Astyanax mexicanus: one gene and its partner. The protein of the gene in region 2 interacts with the protein of the main gene of each other region in a biochemical or structural test. Links are inferred from orthologs where the notes say so. Each region holds a gene or a part of one and is shown on either strand. Other genes may lie near its edges.

The links.
Region 1: the proteins of prkar2aa (region 2) and A-kinase anchor protein 2 form a complex in vitro, tested with the Homo sapiens proteins (2 studies listed by BioGRID, with this or other methods). The link is inferred for Astyanax mexicanus from reciprocal best matches to the Homo sapiens genes PRKAR2A and PALM2AKAP2.

What each region holds. Positions count from the first base shown.
Region 1 is NC_064427.1:25,515,775-25,524,022, reverse strand, and holds the start of A-kinase anchor protein 2, read right to left. Parts: upstream 3,006-8,248; 5' UTR 2,773-3,005; coding exon 2,728-2,772; intron 1-2,727. UniProt on the Homo sapiens protein: Binds to regulatory subunit (RII) of protein kinase A. May be involved in establishing polarity in signaling systems or in integrating PKA-RII isoforms with downstream effectors to capture, amplify and focus diffuse, trans-cellular signals carried by cAMP.
Region 2 is NC_064419.1:50,097,043-50,105,305, reverse strand, and holds the start of prkar2aa (protein kinase, cAMP-dependent, regulatory, type II, alpha A), read right to left. Parts: upstream 3,066-8,263; 5' UTR 1,047-3,065; coding exon 800-1,046; intron 1-799. UniProt on the Homo sapiens protein: Regulatory subunit of the cAMP-dependent protein kinases involved in cAMP signaling in cells. Type II regulatory chains mediate membrane association by binding to anchoring proteins, including the MAP2 kinase.

The DNA of each region.
Region 1 (8,248 bases), on a different chromosome or scaffold from region 2:
AGTGTTATTCGTCATAAACTTACTTCAGCAATGATTTTTTTTAGTCATATATTTACTTCAGCAGTGCTAGTATAGTCACAAATGTACTTCAGTAGTGCTGTTCTAGTTATATACATACTCCAGCAGTGCAATTCTAGTCATATACACACTTTACCAGTGCTATTCTTATCAAGTATTGCTATACTAGTCATGAATTTCCTTCAGAAGTGCTATCGTATTCAGTAAATGCCCTTTATTTTGTATTTTTGAACAATGCCATAAAAGTTTATTTTGGGTCGAACACAACTATAATATCATCTAAAAAAGTTTAGAATCTGTACTTTTGACAGTACTGTCAACATCTGTACTTCCCTCCCAATTATTTCAGGTTATTATCAGCTACTAAAGGCCAAATCCAACATAAGGATTTTCTTTAGCCAACTAAGATGTTATATTACAGTATACAGCAATACACTCCCATACATATGCTTCTCCGAGGCCATGTCAACATTTCTGCCACCTCTGTTTGAGAAATGTACACCATAGAATGGCTAAGATGCCAGAGCCGCTGCCAGAACACTTCCCCATCTGTTGCTCCCCCTCCAATGTTCACTGAAGTCCTGTAGATGCTGCCAAAATTAGCCTCTCTCAGCTACGCTAGATTGCCACTGCTGGACTCTAGCTCATAGAGTGCATTTTTCAGAACGAGAAGAAACACAGCAGAGGTGCTTGCGCCTACTCAACAAACCCACCAGCTCTAGTTTGGCTTTGAATCCAGAAGAAACCTCGAAAAAAGATACAAACACATGGCTCCACCTGCAGAAGATGCCAGATTATCTGCAGTGTTTTCAAAAAAATATTATCATATGATTCCCTAAAATATTCAAAGGTGACTAACTCTAGGTTTCTTACATTTTCTCATGGGCATTTACAGCAAAAGTCCAGGAGAAACCTTCTAAAGAGACTAACCCATGGTTCTCTACCAAAGATATCAGATTAAGTCCAGAAGAAACATTAAAAGAGACTAACTCATGGTTCTACCTACAGTAGATATCAGATTATATTCACTCTTTTGATAGAAAAAGTCCAAGAGAAACCTTCTAAAGAGACTAACCCATGGTGCTCAACATTATCTCCACTGTATTCCCAACAAACATCCAGGAGAAACCTTCAAAGAAGACTAACCTATGGTTCTAGCTACAGTAGATGTCCGAATACCTCCATAAGAAACCTCGAAAAGAGACTAATCCATAGTTTTCAGCAGGAAATGTCAGATTATCTTGATCACATTCACAGCAAAAGTACAGGAGAAACCTTCAGAAGAGACAACCCGTGTATTTTTTCAAAAATATCTCCATCATACTCACAGTAAAAGTCCAGACAGAACCTCTAAAACAGATGAACCCATGTTTTTTTTTTTACATTATCTCCAGTGTCATCACACCAAATGTCCAAGGTTAACCTTCTAAAGAGACGAACCCATGGCTCTACCTACAGTAGATATGATATTAAGTCCAGAAGAAACCTTAAAAGAGACTAACTCATGGTTCTACCTACAGTAGTTGTCAGATTATATCCACTCTATTCCCAGAAAAAGTCCAAGAGAAACCTTCTAAAGAGACTAACCCATGGTGCTCAACATTATCTCCACTGTATTTCCAACAAACATCCAGGAGAAACCTTCAAAGAAGACTAACCTGTGGTTCTAGCTACAGTAGATGTCCGAATACCTCCATAAGAAACCTCGAAAAGAGACTAAAGCATAAATGTCAGATTATCTTGATCACATTCACAGCAAAAGTACAGGAGAAACCCGCAGAAGAGACTAACCTGTGGTTCTTTACAGAACATAACCACAGATACAGTAGACACAGTAGAAAATATTTCATCATACTCACAGTAAAAGTCCAGAAAGAACCTTGAAAACAGATGAACCAATGTTTTTTTTGTTGTTTTTACGTTATCTCCAGTGTCATCACCTTTAAAAGAGACCAACCCATGGTTCTGCCATACAGTAGATGTCAGATTATCTCTATACAAAACATCCAGAAGTGACTAGCCCATTGTTTTCTGCAAGAGATGTCAGATTATCTCTATTATCTCTATTATCTCTAGTAGAGTTCTCTAGTAGAACACCCCTATAAGAAACCACCAAAAGAGTCTGAAGCATATTTTTTTTTGCAGGAAATGTCAAATTATCTTGATCAAAACCACAACAAAAGTCCAAAAGAAAGCTTCAGAGGAGACTAACCTGTGGTTCTCTACAGTAGTTGTCAAAATATCTCCATAGACTAAACCATGGTTCTACCTACAGTAGATGTCAGATTATCTCCATAAAAAACATCCAAAAGTAACTAACCCATCGTTTTTTGCAGGAAATGTTAGTGTTAATCTTTATTATATTTACAGCAAAAGTCCAGGAGAAACCTTCAAAAGAGATGAACCCATGGTGATCTGCAGTAGACAATAGTCAGATTATCACCAGTGTATTCACAACAGAAAAAAATCCAAGAACTTTCAGATGAAACTAACTTATTTTACTACAGTTTTCTACAGTAGACAGCAAATAATCTTCAGTATACTCATAGAAAAACTTGATCTGCTCTATCCAGAAGATGTCAGTTCTTCTCCAGTATATTCCCAGCAGCAGTCCAACAGAAAGCTATAGTTGAGTTTAATTCATGATCAGATCTTTGCCAGGGTCTTCAGAGCAGTGTGTTTTTAACAGAAGAGCAAAAGAAAACTTACCGCCAAAGCTTGAAGCCTCTCTTTGTGAAGTTCGGCCTCGGCCATCCTGGAAAAACAAAGGTAGACGTCTCAGATACAGCGTCCCGGTACACCGTCCCAGTACACTGTCCCAGCGAGTGTGTAAGAGTGTGTGTGAGGGTGAGGGCAGTAGGTTAGGTACTGATGGAGGCGCACACACACACACACTCCCTCACTCAATCACACACCGCTCCAATCCAGTAAGACTGACTGTGTGCTGAGGGCAAGTTCTTCTCATTCACTGGCCATGTGCCTGCCAGACTGCCTCTCTCTCTCTCTCTCTCTCTCTCTCTCTCTTTCTCTCTTTCTCTCCTCCCACCTCCCTCCCTCGCAGTCACAGGCCATGTATGTGCAGCAGCAGAAGCAGCTGGGAGGAGGGAAGCACAGAGAGAGAGAGAAAGAGAGAGAGAGAGAAAGAGAGAGGGAGAAAGTGAGAGAGAGAGGAAGAGACTCCCGACGTTTCACACAGAGCTGCTAGGAGACAGGAAGATCTGTCACTAAGGAGGAGGGAAAGGATAACACACCAACCAACCAACACACCTAGAGACAGATAAAGAGAGAGAGAGAGAGAGAGAGAGAGAGCAAAAGAAAGAGAAAGAGAGATATAAAACAGGAAAGAGGTATAAAGCATATTTCTAAATTCTGTGATAATAAAGGAAGCTGTGCAGGCTTTTATCATTCTTCGGGCTCTATCGTACATCCTGCGCAAGGAGCGTCAAGATGCTTATTGCTATCTTACACCCCGTCAACAGCCCATTTTCATATGTTCACGCCACGACAATAGATTAACGGTTGGAGTTGGAATATATCTCCAGTCAGAGCTCACCTGCCTCTTAAAGGAATGGCAAGTGACACACTGATTGATTTAGTTCACGTTACGCCCAATACACACCCATTATTAAAGGAAAACATGATTAAAGGTGTAAAATTGACTTTGGGTGTAGTAAAACATGATAAAGAGTACAAATCTTTGTTGAATAGCACACCTCCGCTCTCCCACAGCTTTCTGAGATCCAGTAATATTTTACAGTTTGTCCAAACATGTTTTAGATTTTTTGATATGGGGCATATTTGCCCCTGGAGATAAATTGTTTTTTACACTGTTGTCCATGCTCAAAGTAGCTCCACACCTTACTGGTAGAATTTGCAGGGCCCTGACATTTAAAACGAGGCATTAAGAACTTTAAAACTGCTCAAGCAGCTTATTAAAAACCACTGTTTAAAACCCATAGCATAATCTAATCTCCGGGCGCTGCCATCTTAAGGTAAAGGTAAAAGATTATGGGTTGTAAACTGTGGTTTGAGCCTGGATAACGGTGTAAAAAGCCATGTATCTTCATGGGCCAAATATGCCCCATACCATCCATTTTAAAGCACGTTTGTAAACTGTAAAAAATTCCTGAATCTCAAAAAGCTGCATGAGAATGGAGGTGGGCTATTCAACAAAAGTTAATACTCTTTATCATGTTTTACTACACCCAAAGTAAATTTTACACTGGAGTTCTCCTTTAATTAAGAGAATTAGTACATGACTTTTACACGAAGAGTAACTGACCAATGCGCTAAAATAGGGACATTTATATTTCTTCAATCCAGATGAATAAACGTATGTATTTACATATAAACATAATGATAAGAACCTAAAGGAGTGAAGGAGAGGAAGAAAGAGATAGAGAACAAGAAAGAGGGAGAAAGTGGAAGAGAGATAGTGGGAGGGGGGGGTCTGCTGGGACTTAGAAAGGGGCGTGTCATGCACCTGGGATATTCAGAAGCTGCTCTCTATGCTGTTTATCAGAGTCAGTCATGTGATAACTCTGCCTAACTGTACAATCCCTCCAGCTGTTATGTACCTGCAGACAAATGATGGATGTCAATACATTAAAATATAAAAATATATTGTTTTAAACATATCAACATGAAAATTAATTCCGCATCTCCATAAAAGTTGTTCTCAGCAGAGGGAAGCATGAAGTGTAAGACTAAGATTTTTTGGGAAAACTCTGCACTGACTTTAGACTTGATAGAACACAGTGGATCAACACCAGCAGATGACATGTCTCTCCAAACCATCACCAAATGAAATAAAAAATTTACTGATGATCAGTGATAATTTTGTGAGACATGTCCTCTGCTGGTGTTGATCCACTGTGTTCTATCAAGTCTAAAGTCAGTGCAGTGTTTTCCTGAAAAATCTTACAGCACTTCATGCTTCCCTCTGCGGAGAACAACTTTTATGGAGATGCAGATTTCATTTTCCAGCAGGACTTTTCCAGGCACACTGCCCACACTGGCAATAGTACCAATTGGTCTTATATAATATTCTCATTTTCTGAGATACTCATTTTTGGGTTTCAATTGGCTGTAAGCCACAATAATCAAAAATAAAAGAAATCAACACTTAAAATAGATCACTCTGTGTGTAATACATCTATATAATATATGAGTTTCACTATAGTGCTTTTTGAGATAGCACTAGTAAGATAAATGGAATTTCTCAAGACCTTGATAATGTTTATATTGTGTTATCCGGATAGGATTATTTTCTCAGGGGGTCCTGGGATAATTTTCTCTTTTATGGGGGATCTTCTGAGAAAATTACAGGCTGAATTATCCACTTTTTTTCACTAAACTCTGTGGTCCTCCGGTAATTTTAGTCCCGCCAGGACTCACATCTCTGAGTTTCAGAACCTTGCATTTAATAAAACAGCTATTTGTCCACTGTCACGCAACGTAATTACACTTTGAGCACACGTTTCCATGGAGATCCACGCAGCAGCGAGTGCGAGTGCAACAGCGAGTGGAAATGGAGGAGCTACTGAACGCGATGTCATGTGACCGAGAAAGCCAAAAAACTCACTGGTCCTCCTGTTTTTCAATTGCAGTCCAGAGTGCAAGAGTTAAATCACTGAGTAGAGGTGTGAAATATTTTACACAGATGTCCCCCTGAGAAACTAATCCCATCTGGAGAGAGCTTAGGTCACCAATTAAGATCTAACACATGGTAAACAAACATGGCCTCCTCCTTGTCATCGAGCAGAATATGGATGGATCACTGCTGTGAGATGTTCTGTAGCTCTTAAACTGTTAGCTATGCAAGTTCTGTAGCTAAGTGAACTGAGGTGAAGGATCCTTGGGTTTAAGGGTTTAGCTCTGCAGACATTAGTCATCCATATTTACTGTGAATATGAACTGAAACGCTGCCAATGACTCTCTTTCACAGCTACCTCCACTCTCTCACAGCTGCACACGACACCTTTCAGCAGCTCCGGTGTGTTTGCCGAGCTCCATTTTTCGCTGCTGCTGTCGTGGAGCAAAGGGGGGCCACTGGCAGAAGGAGCAGGGGGTCCTACTGGCCCCTTTCCCCCGTCCAACCTCCTGTTCAACTCTCCCCGGTGGAGGGATACAAAAAGTCCTTATATGGGGAAAAGGCTGAGCTAAGAGCGGCCGAGTCTGGAGCGCTGTTTGCGTGAGGAAAGCTCGGGGGAACAGACAGAAATGCACTGGACAGAATTCTGACAGAAATGTAGTGCAGTAGAGTATGTTTTTTTTCTTTATATTGTACTAAAGAAAAGGAAGGGATTGCTTTTATCCCCCAATGCATCATTCATAGGCCTAGTTTTCCCATTTGGAGATCTGATGGACTTGTGTGACAAAGGAGTTATATTGGGAATATATGTCATATAACTATGCGTACATATTTATTGTATGCATATTTTTAAGCATCATTTATTGGACACAAATGCGTATGTGCACATGTATTAGCAAAGAAGTGGAAATATATTTTTTAAATATGTGTACAATATGTGTAAAACTGTTTGCATCTAAAAGGAAATGTTCTTTTTTATATAAATGATAAAACAAAGCTCTACGCTAACCTTAGTTCTCTCCCCGGAAACGTTAGCCAGCGCACCTCTAATGTTCAGCTAGCTTAATGCTAACATTAGTTATCTCCCCAGTAACATTAACTTGCTCACGGCTAATTTTAGCTAACGCAATGCTAACCTGTGTTCTTTCCCCAGTATCGTTAGCTAGCTCACGGCTAATGTTAGCTAGCTAAATGCTAACCTGTGTTCTGTCCCCAGTAACATTAGCTAACTCGTGGCTACTGTTAGCTAGCTCTCCTCTAACCTTAGTTCTCTCCCTAGTAACTCATCACTAATGTTAGCATATGTGCTTTCCCACAGCCATTAAATAAACCGTCTTTTAATACCTACAGCAAATTTACAGTGAATTGAAGACAGTTTAAAACCTTAATTATCCAGATTTTAATTAATAAAAGACATTTTAAGACTTTTCAAGGACCCACGGGAACCCTGATTTAGGGTGTGCCGGTTTGTCTTTGGTATAATGAGGGTGAAAAAGTACACCTTCTGCAGCTTGAAATGCATAAAAGGCATGTACTAATTCTTTAATTAATCTTGGGTGTGTTTTTCAGTGGAGCAATTGATTTTTTTTTTTTTTACCACATTACCACAGCTAAGCTACACAATCATACACTTTATAAAGAGCCTGCAAAGATGGTAAAATCCCAACATGCCAGTCATTATCAGCGCAGGTTTTTTTGCAATGCGGAGGTGATTCAGTGCAGCATTCTCTGAAGCATCCTCCAGCTCCAAACTCTATTATGGTAATGACAGCTGGAGCATTTAATAACACAGCACTCAATCGCAGTACTAGAGCTCCTCCAATATTTATTAGATTGATGTTACTCACCAGCTAGAACCACTTCAGATAATAGCTGTCAATAGGTCAGTAATAATGAACCACATTCAACAAACTCCAAACTCTCAAACACTTCTGGTAGCATCGCTTATCAACACATTAAATACAGAAAAAATGACATTTCTGCATTAAGCAGGCGGTTATTAGAACACTTGACTGACTGTTGTAGTGTTTATGAGTATGTATGTATGTAACAAATACATACAAAATAGGGACTTTATTGAGAAAGGCAAGCATGTGCTTAAAATGTTCTATTGGTCAATTCATCCTGGATAATTTACACAGTGTACAGAGCAGCTACAATAACATAAATGTAGATAAGGTACATGATTTTAATTGGACAGCAGCAATACTGTGCAAACTGTAGTTTGATTTTGTTGCCATTAAAAGATGCATGTTTGACTGGTAGCTAGTTACTATAGTATCTCCATTTGTTGCTATATGGGTTGCTAGGGAGTTGTTAGGTGGTTGCTATGATATCCCAAATGGTTGTTATAGTGTTGCTAACTGTTTACAAGAAGGTTACTCTGCTGATTATAGATGATTGTGGTGTATAGAGGTGCTTAATGGTCACAGGGTGTGGGGGCTTTGAGTGTTTCTGCAGAATAAAGAGCTGCCACTATGATCAGAAGATCGCCGGTTCGAATCCTGTTGATGTAGCTTGCCATCGGCTACCAGAGCCCTGAGAAAGCAAAATTTATTTTGCTTTTATTGGGTGGGTACAGAAGATGGCGCTCTCTCTCCTCATCACTTCAAAGGGTGATGTCGATCAGGACAAGGC
Region 2 (8,263 bases):
TTGCTAGGTGGTACACAGATTCAAAAGGGTGCAAAAGATGTAACCAAGAATGTACAGTGGCTTGCAAAAGTACTCATACCCCTTGAACTTTCACATTTTGTCACCTTACACTTATTTAAATGTATTTTATTTTACTGAGATTTTAAGTGATAGACCAACACAAAGTAGCACATAATTGTAAATTGGAATGAAAATCATACAATGTTTCCGAAATTTTAATCAAACAAAAATCTGAAAAGTTTGACGTGCAAAAGTATTCTACCCATCAGGTAGTTGTCCAGGCACCACCACGTTAAAATTATCGTTATAATTACAGTTTTTAGCAAAAGAACATTTTACACTGTTCTCATTTCCAATTATATATCTACTAGAGACAGATTATATCTGTCCAGTATCATTTATTTTACTTTAATCTTGGATATATGGAGATATTTGGAGAAGTGCATTATTAGTAGTAATATTGTCTTTATAATGTCTAATAATGTCCAGTCTTTTAAATTGTCTCGTCCTGTATTTTTTGTTATTTAGTGTTCTAGTTTTATGTTGCACTGTTGTCGTCACTCCTGCACTTTATGTTGTCTATTGCTTGTTGTTCCATGTTGCACCATGGTTCCGGAGGAACGAAATTTCACTACACTGTGTACCTGTACTCAAATGTAATGACAATAAAAGCCTCTTGATTCTTGACTAGTATCATTATTTTAGGGCCATATATATCCAACCCCAGTTGTAAACCTGTTGGGAGCATCGGTTAAAAGCGCTGTATTTCACATCGTATTTCATTAGGTGAGTTACTTACGCTCGAAGTCAGAATCGTCGTCCTCGTCGTCTTCATCCCCGTTAGACTCCGTCTGCATCGGCTCTCCATCGAACATCACCCCCTTGCCTTTAGCTGCGGCTCCGGACCCGTCCTGGCTCCTGGTGTCCCGCAGGCGGGTGAAATACTGCACGGCGAACTCCACCAGATCCGGCGGCCGCTGGCGGAGCACCTCCACGGTGTAGCCCTGCAGCAGCTCGGTCAGACCCACCGGGATCTCAATACTCATGGCTGTGCGGTGCTTAGTATCCTGATACCTAACTAACTTAGAATATATTTATATAGAGAATTTCTGGAGCGGATCGTACAAAAATATAAATAATAAACTTCTCTTTTATCAGTCCATGTAATTAACCTAGCTAGAGTCAGTTATTTACCAGCTAGTGGACGGGCCTTGGACGAGTACTGTAAAACCTTTAATGTCAGAAATTGACAAAATCTGCCCACCAGTGTGTATAACTTTAATAACTTGTTATTAAACAAGTGGGCAGCAGAAAGTGCCAAGAAGTAGTTAGTACAAAAAAGCTCAAAAACTCACAAAAACACACTTTCAAGGAGAAACAACGTCCTAGTTTAACGTTAGTAGTTTGAACTTGCTTAGCAATCTGAAGTTAAGCTTTTTTGTGCCTCAAAAAAGTTTGACAACCTCTGGCTAATGTTTTGTAAACCTGTCCCAAAGAAATAAAGCAGACAAAAACTTAAAAATATCGCTTAACAAATTGCCCAGCCTTGCTTTCTCCTTCCTAGATATTTCCGAGCTAGTTAGCTTAGCTAGCTGGACAGATAGGTAATGTATTTAGCTAACGTTAATAATGCTGATAAAAAAAGATCAGTACCAACTAAATTCAACAGCGAGCTAATCGATAAATCAACTATCTGTAGACTCTTTCGTTTAGGAGGTAAAAAGAATTTAAGGAGGAATAGAAAGATAGATCTGAGGAAGAGAAAAATAAGAAGAAGAAGCAGCTAGCAGGAGAGGAGACTAGCTGTAGGGTTAGCGCTAATTAGCTTAGCTTAGTTAGCGTTAGCTAAACTAGCTCGCGTTAATTTCCAGTACCAACTAACCTAGGTACCTAGCAGTTATAGCAGTTAGCTGGCTAACTAGCTCACTAATTTAGCTAGATATAAAAATAATTCGCTGTAGACTGATTTAATTTGGGGTGAAGACAGAAGTTAACTAGCCAAACTAGCTAAGCTGTTGATGAACAGAAAGATAGATAGAAAGATATATAGATAGATAGCTAATCAATCTGACTGAGTTTAGCCTAGTTAGCTTAGCTAGTTGGCTAACTCCTAAATCCAGGAGGTTGTGCAGATCTTCTGACGGGTGTTCAGTCCTGTAGCTAAGTTAGCTTTCTGCTCGTTTGACGTCCGTCCAGGTAGCTAACGCCAGGTATAAACTGGAAAAGAAGAGGCTACCCTGTCTTTGACGTGAGAAGAGATAGCTAAAAGCTCAGCATAGAAAGCTAAGAAGGTTAGAGAGACAGAGAGGGAGGTAGTTAGCGGTGTTGTATTAAGTTAGCTTAGCTAAGCTAGGCTTTGCTAGCAAGCTAAGACTGTCTCTCTGCCTGCCTGCTGATTACTGCCTTACTCAAGAAGCCACCAGAGCTTATTAGTTAGCTGTATAGCTAACCTATGCTATTATTCTGCTTGTTATTTTGATAGACAGACAGATAGATAGATAGATAAATGACCAGGCTAAGCTAGCTGCTGTTAGAGAGATAGCTAGAAAGAGAGAGAGGGTGAGAGAAAGATAGCTAGAAAGAGAGAGAGGTAGAGAGAGAGAGAGAGAGAGAGATAAGTGGGGAGGGGTGGGGACAGCAGGGTGGTGAGATTAAGCTCGCTTGTCCTCAGTAGAAGGCCAGTTCTCCAGCATTAAACATTAAAACAAACCAACACACAGACAAAAATAACCCACAGCTAAGCTAGTTAGCTAACTAGCTGCACACAACAGGTCGCCCACAGCAAACCAGCCAACCAACCAACTACCAGCCCCAGCACCAGCCCAGCACTGATGGCCCGGTGAGCCCCCCCAAAAAAACCCGAAAAACAGCGAAAAAACTTTCCCCTCTGTGTCAATCCTCCTTCTCCTCTCCTCAGAGCTCCCGTCCAACTGGAACAAATCCCTACGAATAATCAAATCCCCCCGAAATCGATTATTTCTACGATTTTTTAATCGTATCCCCCCGGTTTCTGCCTCTCGTCGAGGCGCGCTCTCTCCTTCCACTCCACGAGCGAGCCAGCCAGCGAGCCGCGCTTTGGGGGCGTGGCCTCAACAGTAGCGTCAACGCAAGCGCCTTTGTTTGTTGATTGACAGCCCAACAGACCAATCATAGCACGGTAAGCCGAGAGGGGGCGTGTCCGTGAGGAATTTAGATGTAGGTTCACCCACAGTATGACCCATCATTCTGAAATAACAAAATATTGGCACTTAAAATTGAATATAATCAAGAGGAAGATGGATGATCACAAGCCATCAAACACAAAAGCAGTGTGTAAGACTGGTGGAGGAGAACATGATGTCAAGATGCCTGAAAACTGTGATTAAAACCAGGGTTATTCCACCAAATATTGATTTCTGAACTCTTAAAACTTTATGAATATGAACTTGTTTTCTTGCTCTAAATAACAATATGTTTATTTGGAATTTGGGAGAAATGTTGTGCATTTATATACTATAATATTCTAGTCGATTCCTATTTTTTTTAGTAGTTTGCATTAAGCCAAGTCAAGTAGTTTTATTGTCAGCACTGCATATGTACAGGACATACAGAGGATTTGAAATTACGTTACCCTCCTTCCCAAAGTTACAGCAAGTACAGCAAGATAAAATTATGAATAATAAAAGAACGAGAGACACTAAATATAAAGTATAACAAAGTATACTTGTGACAAGAGACACAAGATAATAGTGAAAAATATTTTTTTGGAAGCTTTAAAGCTTGACTTTTGATAACAGGCTGATAATAATTTGAATTAGGTGTTTTAGGGCGAGGAAGCTCCCAAAACATGCAGGGAAGGAGATCTTCTTCACGATTAATCAAAAATAACAAAAATAATATAAGGATATAGTGAGAATATAAAAAGCAAAATATACTTCTTTCCATATTCTTGCACATATACATATTTTTATTAATGTATTTGCACTTTGTATGTCTTTTTACGACTCATTGTATTGGATGTTGATATGCCATGTAACATTATAGTAAATATATTAAAGATAAATAAGTAAGTAAGTAAAAATATAAGTTATGGAAAGGTACAAAAAATGCGTTTTTTCCTCAGGAAAACACTATACTAAAATGGTAAACGAATGCCTATTTATTTATGTTACTCCTGTTATGTTATGCAGCGCAATGGGGGCGTGGCTTCAACGGCAAGGAGGCTTTGATTGGCAGCCGGACTAACCAATCACAGCGCAGCAACCCGAGGGCGGGGCGTGTCCGTGTGGAATTTAGAGGCGGGTGATAAAGTGACAGCTCGCGCTGCACCGTGTGACCCAACAGGCTGAAACAACGTCAGCGCTGCATTCCAGCCAGCGCGTGCTGAAAACCACACCTGTGCAGCAGGGCAGGTAACTACTGCTCACCTGGAGAACCAGGACAGCAGCAGGTAAACAGCACGCACTAATCTCAGTTCATGTTCTGCATCAATCAAGCAGAGTGCAGGAACAGCGAGGAGATAAGATATCTCCAGAACATGAAGCTATAAATAAATAAATAAAACCTGAAGGGGATATATAATAAAATAACTACATAATATTTATCTTTTCTCTTGTTCTGATTAATTCTATTCAGTTCTACTCTATTTTATGCCATTGCATTGCATTATCTTCTATTGTAATCTAATCTAATATATTGCATTCCATTCTATTCTCTATTCTATTTAATTCCTCGCTTTTTTTTATCTTATTCTATTCTCTTCTATTTGTACTATGTTCTAATGTAATCAACTTGACTTTACTCTATTGCATTTTCTTTTATTCTATTCTATTCTATTCTATTCTATTCTATTCTATTTTATTTAATACTATGCTATTATTTATTCTAGGGCTGAGCAATATTGTTAAAAAATAATCTCAATATTTCCATTACATTTTATAGTACTTTATTATATTTATTTTATTCTGTTGTATTCGTTGCATTAAAAAGCAGTCAAAGACATATGTATTCATATATATGTATATATATATGTGTCTGTAACTGTGATTAGTTTTAGCGTGCAGGGTACGTATGTATATATGTATGTATATTATATATATGTTATTTATATAAGTGTAACTGTGGTTAGGGTGCAGGATAGAGTTTCAGTGCTCGGTATCCCTGTAAACCTGTACGAGTCTCTGTGTGGTGCCTGTGCGTAAAGCTGTGCTCTGCAGGGGTAGGATTTCTCTGTATATAATTAATATAGGTTATATAGGTTATATATATATATGTATATGTGTGTGTAGCTGTGGTCAGGGTAGAGGATAGTGTAAACCTGTACGAGTCTCTGTGTTGTGCCTGTGCGTAAAGCTGTGCTCTGCAGGGGTAGGATTTCTCTGTATATAATTAATATAGGTTATATATATATATATGTATATATGCGTGTAGCTGTTGTCAGGGTGTAGGACAGTGTAAACCTGTCCGAGTCCCTGTGTCGTCTCTGTGCGTAAAGCTGTGCTCTGCAGGGGTAGGATTTCTCTGTATATAATTAATATAGGTTATATATTTATGTATATATGTGTGTAGCTGTGGTCAGGGTGGAGGACAGTGTAAACCTGTACGAGTCTCTGTGTGGTCTCTGTGCGTAATGCTGTGCTCTGCAGGGGTTGGATTTCTCTGTGTCGTGTTGCTGCTCTGCTGTAAATATAGAGCAGTGTCTCTAATCTCAGCTCTTTACCTGCAGGGCACAGGTGAGGCTTATCCACCCAGAACCTGCAGCAAATCCCCAGATCACACATTCACCTGCTGCAGCAGCGCCCCCTGCAGACCCAGCACAGACACTGCACTGCATTTCTGCACTGCTATTCTATTCTATTCTGATCCATTAAGTTAAATTTCAAAATATTACTATTTATTGTATTCTATTCTGTTCTATTTTCTTCTATTGTACTTAATTCTACTTCATTCTTTTCCAGCATATTCTGTAATCTACTCACCTCTACTCTACTGTACTCTACTCTTCCCTATTCTACTCTACTGTATTCTAGTCTGCTCTACATTACTCTACTGTACAATACTTTACTGTATTCTACTGTACTCTACTCTACAATACTTTACTGTATTCTACTGTACTGTACTCTACTCTTCCCTATTCTGTTCTATTGTATTCTACTCCGCTCTACTCTACATTACTTTACTGTACTCTACTCTTTCCTATTCTACTCTACTGTATTCTACTGTACTCTACTCTTCCCTATTTTACTCTACTGTATTCTACTCTTTCCTTTTTTACTCTACTGTATTCTACTCTTCCCTCTACTCTTCCCTATTTTACTCTACTGTACTCTACTCTTTCCTATTCTACTCTACTGTATTCTACTGTATTCTACTCTTCCCTATTTTACTCTACTGTATTCTACTCTTCCCTATTTTACTCTACTGTATTCTACTCTTTCCTTTTTTACTCTACTGTATTCTACTGTACTCTACTCTTCCCTATTTTACTCAACTGTACTCTACTGTACTGTATTCTACTGTACTCTACTCTTCCCTATTTTACTCTACTGTATTCTACTGTACTGTATTCTACTGTATTCTACTGTACTCTACTCTTCCCTATTTTACTCTACTGTACTCTACTGTACTGTATTCTACTGTACTCTACTCTTCCCTATTTTACTCTACTGTATTCTACTGTACTGTATTCTACTGTATTCTACTGTACTCTACTCTTCCCTATTTTACTCTACTGTATTCTACTGTACTGTATTCTACTGTATTCTACTGTACTCTACTCTTCCCTATTTTACTCTACTGTATTCTACTGTACTGTATTCTACTGTATTCTACTGTACTCTACTCTTCCCTATTTTACTCTACTGTATTCTACTGTATTCTACTCTTCCCTATTTTACTCTACTGTACTCTACTCTGCTATATTCTACATTACTCTACTGTATTCTACTGAAATGTACTCTTCCCTATTGTGCTCTATTGTACTCTACTCCTCCCTATTATACTCTACTCTACTCTACTCCTCCGTGATTGGATGGGCTGGAGGGATGGTGAATCTGTACCGGAGTCTGAAGGTCAGGTGGATCTGGAGTGATCTGAGGCGGATCATCAGTCAGAATCTGGAGCGGTTCTGTACCGAGAGGAACAGGAGAGATTATTATTACAGGAAAACGTACCTGAACAATAAAAAACCCACATATCATAAAACAATAACTGAATTTCCCTCACTTTTTATTTCAAATAAAGGACTTTAATAATTATATTAATATAAGGATATTAATTTATAAAATTATTAATACTGTAATTATGTTTATTTGAATCCATAGTCTTTATTTTTCTGTTTCCTAGTTTGATTTTTATAAATCAAATATATGATATATGTCAAATATCAAATAAATATATATGTATATTTATGGATATGGATTTGCATATATCATTCTATTCAGCCTAAAGAAATTTAGTAGAAATGTTTTTCAGGCTGGATTATTTTTTGAATGAAGATCCACAGCTGTACATCCAATCAGAATAGAGATAATTTACATTCAGTAGATTATATAAATAAATACATATTAAATAAACACAGACATTAATAACTGTTATTACTTACTTTAGCCCCCCTGTACCTGCGGGCAGGGCGCGCGGACAAGGATCAGCCAAACCGGTATAATGTGGTTTAAGGGCGCCGCCTACTGGCCATTCTACAGAACTGCAGATATCCCCACACTGTTCACACTGAACCACACTGAGACACATTTACACCGAATTAAAATAAAATAAAGATTCTTCAGTAAAGATCAGAATTATAATAGTAAGTGATTATTATAAGATAGAGATTTTATCACAGGATAAAATACAAATATTATTACTATATACAGCTCTGGAAAAAAATAAAATTTCACTTAAAAATGATGAGTTTCTTTGATTTTACCAAATTGTAAACCTCTGGAATATAATCAAGAGGAAGATGGATGATCACAAACCATCAAACCACCAAACTGAAGCATAAAGCATAAAGTTATCCAAAAGCAGTGTGTAAGACTGGTGGAGGAGAACATGATGCCAAGATGCATGAAAAAAAAACTGTGATTAAAAACCAGGATTATTCCACCAAATATTGATTATTTCTGAACTCTTAAAACTTTATGAATATGAACTTGTTTTCTTTGCATTTATTTTCTGTAAATAAATGCTCTAAATGAGAATATTTTTATTTGGAATTTGGGAGAAATGTTGTCTGTAGTTTATAGAATAAAACAACAATGTTCATTTTACTCAAACATAAACCTTT